2 linked regions of the Nothobranchius furzeri genome follow. The protein of the gene in region 2 purifies or fractionates together with the protein of the main gene of each other region. This does not show direct contact. Links are inferred from orthologs where the notes say so. Each region holds a gene or a part of one and is shown on either strand. Other genes may lie near its edges. The genes, in order: ncl and heterogeneous nuclear ribonucleoprotein D0.

The links.
Region 1: the proteins of heterogeneous nuclear ribonucleoprotein D0 (region 2) and ncl purify together in Homo sapiens (affinity purification with western blotting; 3 studies listed by BioGRID, with this or other methods). This does not show direct contact. The link is inferred for Nothobranchius furzeri from reciprocal best matches to the Homo sapiens genes HNRNPD and NCL.

Annotation. Positions count from the first base shown.
Region 1 is NC_091748.1:62,945,116-62,949,723, forward strand, and holds the start of ncl (nucleolin), read right to left. Parts: upstream 2,861-4,608; 5' UTR 2,691-2,860; coding exon 2,673-2,690; intron 1,761-2,672; coding exon 1,665-1,760; intron 1,589-1,664; coding exon 1,480-1,588; intron 1,235-1,479; coding exon 1,085-1,234; intron 1,012-1,084; exon of another isoform or gene 874-1,011; intron 790-873; coding exon 502-789; intron 129-501; coding exon 1-128. UniProt on the Homo sapiens protein: Nucleolin is the major nucleolar protein of growing eukaryotic cells. It is found associated with intranucleolar chromatin and pre-ribosomal particles. It induces chromatin decondensation by binding to histone H1.
Region 2 is NC_091746.1:62,892,563-62,896,816, forward strand, and holds the start of heterogeneous nuclear ribonucleoprotein D0, read right to left. Parts: upstream 2,905-4,254; 5' UTR 2,684-2,904; coding exon 2,514-2,683; intron 1-2,513. Other genes in the region: enoph1 (enolase-phosphatase E1), read left to right, coding at 3,573-3,657, 3,880-3,971, 4,111-4,212. UniProt on the Homo sapiens protein: Binds with high affinity to RNA molecules that contain AU-rich elements (AREs) found within the 3'-UTR of many proto-oncogenes and cytokine mRNAs.

The sequences.
Region 1 (4,608 bases), on a different chromosome or scaffold from region 2:
TTCGTCGTCATCATCATCATCATCATCTTCCTCCTCCTCTGACTCCTCCTTGGCTTTGACCATGCCTGCTTTCTTTGCCTTGGTGGCTGCTGGAGCTGGAGTGGTGTCCATCTCCTCTTCTTCAGAGTCTGGAGTACAAACATCAGATCTGGACATCATTTCCTGTCCCCATGTTTTAGATCACATGATCCTTTTAAATCTACAATGGCAAATCTGCAAAACTAACTAGTCTAAAACACTTTCGTGCCTCTTAAAGGAAGACAAAAATAGTTTGTGAAGTTAAAAATTATGATAGCTGACGGGGAAAGAGAGTTCGGCGACTTTTTAAAAGCTGGCCCGTTTTGCAGATTTGCTATTGCAGCTTTGACCAACATCAGATATGTAAAAAGTGACATCAACCACAATCAGTATTAAGTCCCTTTTTCTTCATCACACAGTTAAAGCTGGTCCAGCGTAAAGTTTCTTTGTCAATAATTAAAAACAATAGAGAATCAGGCTTACCATCTTCATCGTCCTCCTCATCGTCAGACTCCTCTTTAGCAGGCTGTGCTTTAGCTGCAGATTTAGCAGCTGCTTTGGCCGCAGGTTTAGCGGCAGCTGCTTTGGCTGGAGTAGCCTTCTTTGGGGGTGGAGCTGCCTCCTCCTCCTCTGAATCATCTTCATCATCGTCGTCATCATCATCAGAAGACTCCTTTGGAGCAGGTTTGGCCTTTGCTGGGGCTTTGGCAGGAGGCTTGGCTGCTGGTTTTGCTGCTTTCTTGGGAGGTGGGGCCTCCTCTTCAGATTCATCTGAACAAGAAACATTGAAATTGGGTTATTTTTCACCCTCACTTCTAGGTAAGATTCATATAGAGCAGAAAACAAAACATGAAGCAATGTAACAGCGTTTGAGGATAGAACCGGCAGACATTAAAACACACCGGCACCGAAGACATAGCGCTGCCTTTACTTTTCCTCCGTACATTACACACATGAGTACCAATCAACTGCATGCATGCCAAGAAATGGAGGGTGTGGGGCCACTTCACTATTCACTTAGTCAAAGTTAACAAAAAAAAAAAAAAAAGTCTAAACCACCACATACCATCATCGTCATCTTCGTCGTCGTCATCATCATCAGACTGCTCAGCCTTGGCAGGCGCTGCTTTCACTGCTGTGGCTTTAGCAGCTGTCTTTGCAGATGCTGCTTTTGCAGGTGTCTTTTTAGGTGGTGGTGCCTCTTCCTCAGATTCCTCTGTGGGTGACCACGAGATAATTTCACAAATCAAATAAAATTTAACTTTTAGAAAAAAATCAATTATGCAACTAATAAATTATGCATTTAGGTTTATAATTTAAAATAAACTTTCTTAAGCAGCTCGTTATGTGTAGGCTAAATAAGAGTACATTGTGTGAGTTTGACGGGGATATCCCTTGAAAATTATTTTATTATGACATCAATAGGACCTGAAAAACCTAAATTTTATTAGTGCAGCTCACCAGAATCATCCTCTTCATCAGAACTTTCTTGTTTTTTGGCAGGGGTACCATTTTTGACTGCTGGGGAAGCTTTACCTGCTGCTTTTTTTGCTACTTTAGGTGGAGGGGTCTGGATTTTAAAAAGAAAGAAAGTTCAGTTATTTGAATTCAACAAACTGATATCAGTAACTAAGCAAGTGTTATACCTCTTCCTCCTCACTGCTTTCTTCTTCACTAGATTCCTCTTCCACTTTTTTGGGGGGTGGGGGGGCTTTTTTCTTTTTAATTTGTTGACTTGCTGCCTGAAAAAAAAAAGCCAGTGTTAATCCATAAAAACTAGAAAGACTACACAACAGTCAAAACGAATCTACAGCTCAACCGTTAAGCTTAAGTATATCAATTCAAGTTCATCCAAGTTAAACAAAAATAAATACCGCAAATAATGCAGACTGACTAACCAATCGTGACATCCGTCCGCCTTTACAGTAAACTACTTTCTCGGTTTTGGTTGAACACCGCGTGTGTCACTCATAGCGTGCGCCCACCCACGTGGAGCTCGTGAAGCTAACATAAGGCTAGCATCTGGGCTACATTTCACCACAGACGACTAAAACTACAACAAAAATCAAACCGCTTTGGGTAACAAACGTTCGACACGAAGATTCCAACAGATAACGAAAAACAAAACCCTTGAATTCGACTCAAAAACGTGTAAAGAAGATGCGGACCACGTACTTAAAATGTGCAACGTGCTAATGCTAAAACGGAATAGGATTAAACGTATGTTACATTATTACAAATGTATTACCAGTAACGTCAAAACTCTACTTTCCCACTTTAGTTTAATAAAAAAGCTCAATTTTTTAATCACAATAAAACCCAAACGCTTAAAAAGAGAAACGGACAAATAACACGACGAAAACTCGCCTAGCGTTAGCAGGCCGAGCTAGGCCTGGAAAACCAGAACCAGAGACGTCGACCAAATACAGCATGCTTTACATATTAGGGGGAAAAACTACTTTTGAAGGATTAGATTGTTAAAAATGTTGTGAAAATGCGCTGTCACTGCAACATATGCGCGCACATTCCTAACTTTGACTGGTTTTATTTTTCCAAAAACGCAGCACCTTAAGCCAAAGGCCTCGTGCGCCAAAAAAAAAAAATTCAAGCACGGCTCAGCGCGGACATTTTGATGTGATATAGATTCGTCTTACCTTTGCTAGCTTCACCATGGTTGCTTCTGATGTGTGTGTTTCAATGAAACACTAATATCTAAAGGTTTGATGACAAGTACCAAAATGTCTGCTGCATGCACGTGGATCTGTCTACTCAGTGGGACATTGGACTAGAAAGACAGACGGGTCGCAGAAGTGGTTTCTCTCCAGCTCCGCGCTGTGACGTCTGCCCGCCCACATGACCATTTCAACCAATCGGAAATTGACATATTTGCCTCGTGCACGCGCCTCGCCTACGAGCCGTTTACAGACTGTTTTTTTCTCTACACCTGAGCAAATTTCATCTAAAAATACCATTTCCGAGATTATCTGTGTGTTTAACTTCCAAGATTTGTCTTCGGATAGTGCCAAAAAAGTGCAATTTTCTAAATGTTGACACAAAGACAATGCGTCTTTATGCAACTCCGTGCAGCTGTTTTCTTTTGGTCAGCTGCCGTAAACCATCGACCGCGTCTACCACGTGGTTCTAGCATAACCCAGGGTATATTCAATCAGTTTTTAGGGCCACGTCGAACGTTTCAACCGCCAACAATAATTTGCCTTTAATAAAATATATTTTGATCAAACGTTACCACAGTTTTTCAATTGTACCAGTAAAGAGGATATCGCCCTCTCACTTTTTTTTCAAATCTCTTGAAGAGTTTGGGACACTGACACTGGGATTTTACAGCAAATACTAAAAGGGCAGAGGCATTGTGTATGCCACTGACTCCTCCAACCTGTGCTAAACATCTGGAGAAGCTGAGGTCCCACCCTATTTAGAATAGACTATTAATCCCATTTTGGGGAAATAACCTTGTTACTGCAGCACATACACTTTTAGACAAGGAAGAAGAAAACAACAAAAGTACAGGTAAACACATAGGCAGTAACCTGTTCTTGTAACATTCAACCCTCAAAACAATGAATACAAATAGACAACTGGGTTTCCAAAAATATGCAGCATAAGAGACACAGATAATGTACGTCCAGTATTGCACAATACTGAACACATGCTGAAAATGATATTTTTATATCTGATTCTATCTGATGATATTTTATCTGCCTCTCAAGATAAAAATCACGAGGTGCTTCACAAAAACAAAAAAACAATTAAAGTATAAAAAGATTTCAAAAATGATTAAAAATATGTTTAAAAGGAGAAAAGAAAAAAATGTAAGGAAAGGGAGAGAGAACATTTAATAGGGAAGAGGGACATTAATGGATCCTGGGAAAGGTGGAATAAGAGCAGAATAAGGGGAGGGAGGTGATGAAGGTCACGCAAAAGCTAGCTTGAACAGGTGAGATTTCAGCTGTATTTTAAAGGAGACCACTGAGTCCACCAATCTTAGGCTCAGGGGGAGAGAGTTCCAGAGTCTGGGGGCCACAGCAGCAAATTATCTGTCACCTTTGGTGTTTAGCCTGGTGCGTTGCACAACCAGTAGGCTTTGGTCACTGGACCTCAGGGACCCGCTGGGGGTGTAGGGATGGAGAAGATCACCAATGTATGATGGTGCTTGTCCATGTAAGGCCCTATAGACCAGAACCAGGATCTTGAAATGAACCCTGAAGTTGACTGGCAGCCTGTGAAGCTGGAGGAGAAGTGGGGTGATGTGAGTGTGTTTGGAGGACTTGGTCAGAAGCCGAGCACAGGCTTTCTGAACCACCTGTAGACGGTTCAGGTTCTGCTCAGACACGTGAAAAGAGAGTTACAGTAGTCTAAGCGTGAGGAGATGAAGGTGTGGATAACTGTCTCAAGTTCAGAGCGGGACAGAATGGGACTCAGCTTAGCAATGTTCCTGGGATGGAAGAAGGAAGAGCGAACAAGAGAACTGACATGAGAATCCAGGGTGAGAGCTGGGTCAAAGGTCACGCCAAGATTCCTGACGGAGGTTTTGGTGTGAGAAGCAAGCTGACCAAGAGAGTCTCTGACTTT
Region 2 (4,254 bases):
CTAATAAATAAAATTACTAACAAACTCAGGAATCTTTCTTTGCTTCACTGTTCTGGTGTAGTGATGGGAAATACGGCTCTTTTTAGAGAGCCGGTTCTTTTGGCTCCCAAGTGGCTCCTCAGATTTTCTGTTGCGTAGAATACATGTATAACCAAAATAATACTAAACTATATGTAAAATAATTTACTAATGTAAAAAAGCAATATATCAAATATTTATAATTTCTATTGATTTAATAACTGAACACTTTAAGAAATCTCCACTTCCCTACTGCTGGCGCTCATTTTCTCCTCTCTCTCGCTCGCCTTTTTCCTCCTCCTCATTCCCTCTCGTCTCCCTCCACCCGCATGTGCTCTGCTGTGTGTCTGTCTGAGTCTGATCCTCCCTCTTCCCCGCCCCTACTGCTCTGTGTGTGGACAGTCTGGACACACAGTTACACATGTTGACCAATCGCCTGTAGCTTTCACCAAGGCAGGGGGGGAGGGGGGAGGGACGGCTCCCAATGACGAGCCGGCTCCCGTCGTTCACTTCAAAGAGCCGGCTCTTAGAGCCGGTTCGTTCGCGACCGACACATCACTATTCTGGTGCTGAGGATATCACTAATGCGGATCAAAGGAGATACACAGATGAACGCACCTCTTATTTATTATTTGGAAACTACATTTACTGCAGCTGGCAGAGGCAGAGATTGTTTCTATTGATACATGAATTTACAGAATCGTTTTAAATGTTAAAAGGGGAAGACTGCAGGAGGGAGCGGTAAAATACAGGGGGTCCCCAGCTAAAACAAGAAACTTTACGAGTCTGATGAAACCCGCTGGTTTTCCATCAGGCAGTCACGGGGCAGCTCCAACGACCCAGTGGCTGTGCTGGGTCAGTTACCGAGCCCAGTCCGGTACCGGCTCGGCCGTGAAGAGCCGAGGCAACGTCATGCTCTGCTTAAGAAGAAGCGTTATTTTCCCGCTTCAGAAGAAGCGTCCAACGTGTTTTTACGCTTTCTCCGAGACATGTCACATTGCTAAGTTGTTAGCGCGCTAACACGTCAATAGTGCAGCGTAGCCTGCTGGAGGTTTTAAGGGTTCAGATGAAAACACCCGACCTCTCAGGCTGCTCACACATCGATCTTAAGTTGTCGCTGTTGCGCTCACGCCGTAATACAGTATTAGATGCGGTTAAAGTCAGACATGAAAAAATAAATAAATTTTACATGAATAAGTGATGCTTAGCCTGGTGGAGGGAGGAAAATCTTGCCTAATAAGCACTGGAGGAAACCCTGTCAAGATCGTTAACACTTGTTTATCTTACTGCTATTGAAACATGTAAACCAAAATGCATTATATCCATTGCTACCTTTCTAATTTTAAACTCAGTAACTTATGCTGTAACGTCACCTTGCTCTGCCTGCTCCTTTCTTCTTGCTGCCCGCCGGCTGTGATCACAAGCGACAACATAGTAGTTCCCGCTGCTTCTTCGGGAAACAGCGCATGGCGGGCCGCCACGGCTACGCCTATGTAAGGGAAACCCTGTATTTTAAAACATTTTCTAAATGCTTTTTTATATTTTTACATTTTTTTTTGTTTTTGTGAAGAGCCTCGTGATTTTTATCTTGAGAGGCACTATAGAAATGATATTTTCTTCTTCTTCTATTCTCTTACAGTACCAGTTGATCACTTTTTTTGAAGAATTTATTTGAGATTTTCTGGTTTTTATTAATTGTGCAATAGACAAATAATAATTAGATTAATCGCCATTAGAAAAGTCAACTATTCGATAAAATAATCGTCAGAATAATCATTTTAAAACTAATCGTTTACCCCCAGCCCTAACACCAAAGTAACTTGAGGTCTTAAGGGGAGACTGTGCAGTGTCTCTCCTTAAGCCCTCCTCCAAATAACCATGTTATTAGGGCAAGAATCTGACAATATGACAAATATCACAATAAAGGGGAGATGATACGATATAATGCAATACTAAAAGCCACATGATTAGCTATTTTAAAGACTGAATTTAATTTTAAATCACTCCAGACGCTTTCAAGACACATCCAGCGTTTTCTCGAGATCTTGTCGTTCCATCAGAATGAAGGCAGTAAAACTGCTGCTACCTAGCAGTCAGAGTTTGAATTGCATCAAACAAAATAATTACAGTAAATGTTAACATTTAAATTGTGAATTACAAACATCGAGAAATATTGATTCAGTGACATGAAATATCACAGCATTGATTTTCTTGCATTCCAACTGATTATGGTTATATCTAAACGGAGTGAGACAGCAGAGTCAACAACATGCTAAAGAAATGTGTCCCGTTATTCTCACTTTGACTACTCAACATAAACATCTTTATAATTGTGTAAATGTATTAAGTCTTACCGATTTCCTTGCTGAATTTGTCTCTATATGTACTTATGCAGATGTAGCATCCATGTTGTATATCCTTCATATAAGTCCAAAAGCTTTGACTGAGAGTGAAATAATAAATGACCGCGTTATGAAGCTGGAACAGTAACATACCCTTCGTCCTCCTCGTTTTTACTGGCGTCAATCCTCGACCCTTCGGCCTCGCCTCCCATCGTCAGGCCACAGTCCCCACTAGCGGACATCGGGTCGTCGTTGTTAGCATCTCCATCCTCCTCCATTCTCATCAGGCTCGAGCCTTCGCTGAATTCATAATCCTTCGACATATTTTGGTTTTTTCAGGCACCTAATTTTTAACTAAAGCGGCACCGGGAATTTTTGAGAAAATACAAATTCACAAAAAAATAGAAGTTGCGCTACAGATAGCTAGTGGCTAGCTAATATTTATTATCAAATACCATCAGATAAAAAAACGAAGCAAACGCAAACCGTGTAGCTTCTTCACGGAAACATCTAAGGTTTTGATTAACAGAAATTTAAAGCGTTTAAACTGATAATTAACTATCTTCCAAATGTTATTTTAATAATAAGAGCGTCGTTTTGTGTCGTTTTTTATCACCGTCACCGGATTCTTCTTCTCTGTTTTAAAAACGGATGAATTAGGAAACCAAACCGGGAACAGCGTCACCCAAACGTGCCGGTGTTACGTCGAAATGTGTGACCCCGTTGAAAACTGTTTCTCCCACTGGCTTTGCCCTGCCCCCTTGTGTTCGGTTCAGATGTAAAGAGATTCACACAGCTTTATCGCACATCCGACTCGCCTCATCAAAAAGTACATAATTTAAGTTATATATTTTCTTCACCTAACATTTTTGTCTTCGCAGTCGCACAAATATATTTGCCGAGGAACACCTATGACGACCATGCTGATGCTGACAGCAGCGAACAGTTTCAGACGGGGTAACCTATACAACATCTAAGTGTAAACATTAAACACGGTTAAAATAAACGTTCTTTGAACGGCAGATTATAATTTCAAGTGAACGTAAAGAGAAAATTAAAAATTGAATGGAAAATATACGGTGTGTGTGTTTTACGTAGAATATTTATCTAGTCAGCTAACACCCTCAAAGAAATAGCACACACGTAACAATGAATTCTAATTATTTTCTGACATGCAAAACAAAATATTATTAATTGTAAACTGTTCAAAATATGTTTTTAAATGATGAGTCCTTGCTATTAAAATACTCAGTATCGTCACCTAGTGAGTTGGAGGTGAATTGTCAGACCGGAACATGTGAGTTAGTTGTTGCATTGTGTGTTCGCTAAAGTAATGGCTTGAATAATCACGTAGCAGAGATCAACTAAAGCCATTTCCTGCTCATTTATAATCTCGGTTTTGCGGTATTCGACCTGGACACGCACGTGGGAACAGAGCCTCGCTGTAACACCACACTATTTAAGCTAAGCTATCGTTAGCTAAGATAAGAACCTCCACCATCCTTGTGTTTTATTCTAGTTACAGAAATGGCCACTGTTTCTATTCCTGCTCGCACTACAACAATCTTGTTGGACATCGAGGGAACCACTACACCAATTACATTCGTTAAGGTGAGTTACATTTGTTTTTATTGTATTAGGTGGGTCCAACCGTAATGCTAAGTAAAGAGCTAACAGTTGCATACGGCTAAAAACTGCCTGTTTCTAACAACTGAAAACTAATACACTCCGGGCTTTGTCACTTTTCCAGGATATTTTGTTTCCTTACATCAGGGAGCATCTGGAGGATCACCTGTCCACTCACTGGGAGGAAGACGAGTGCAAACAAGATGTGCATTTGCTAAAGAAACAGGTATGATTAAAGCCTTAAAGTGAAATTAAAGTGAAAATAAAT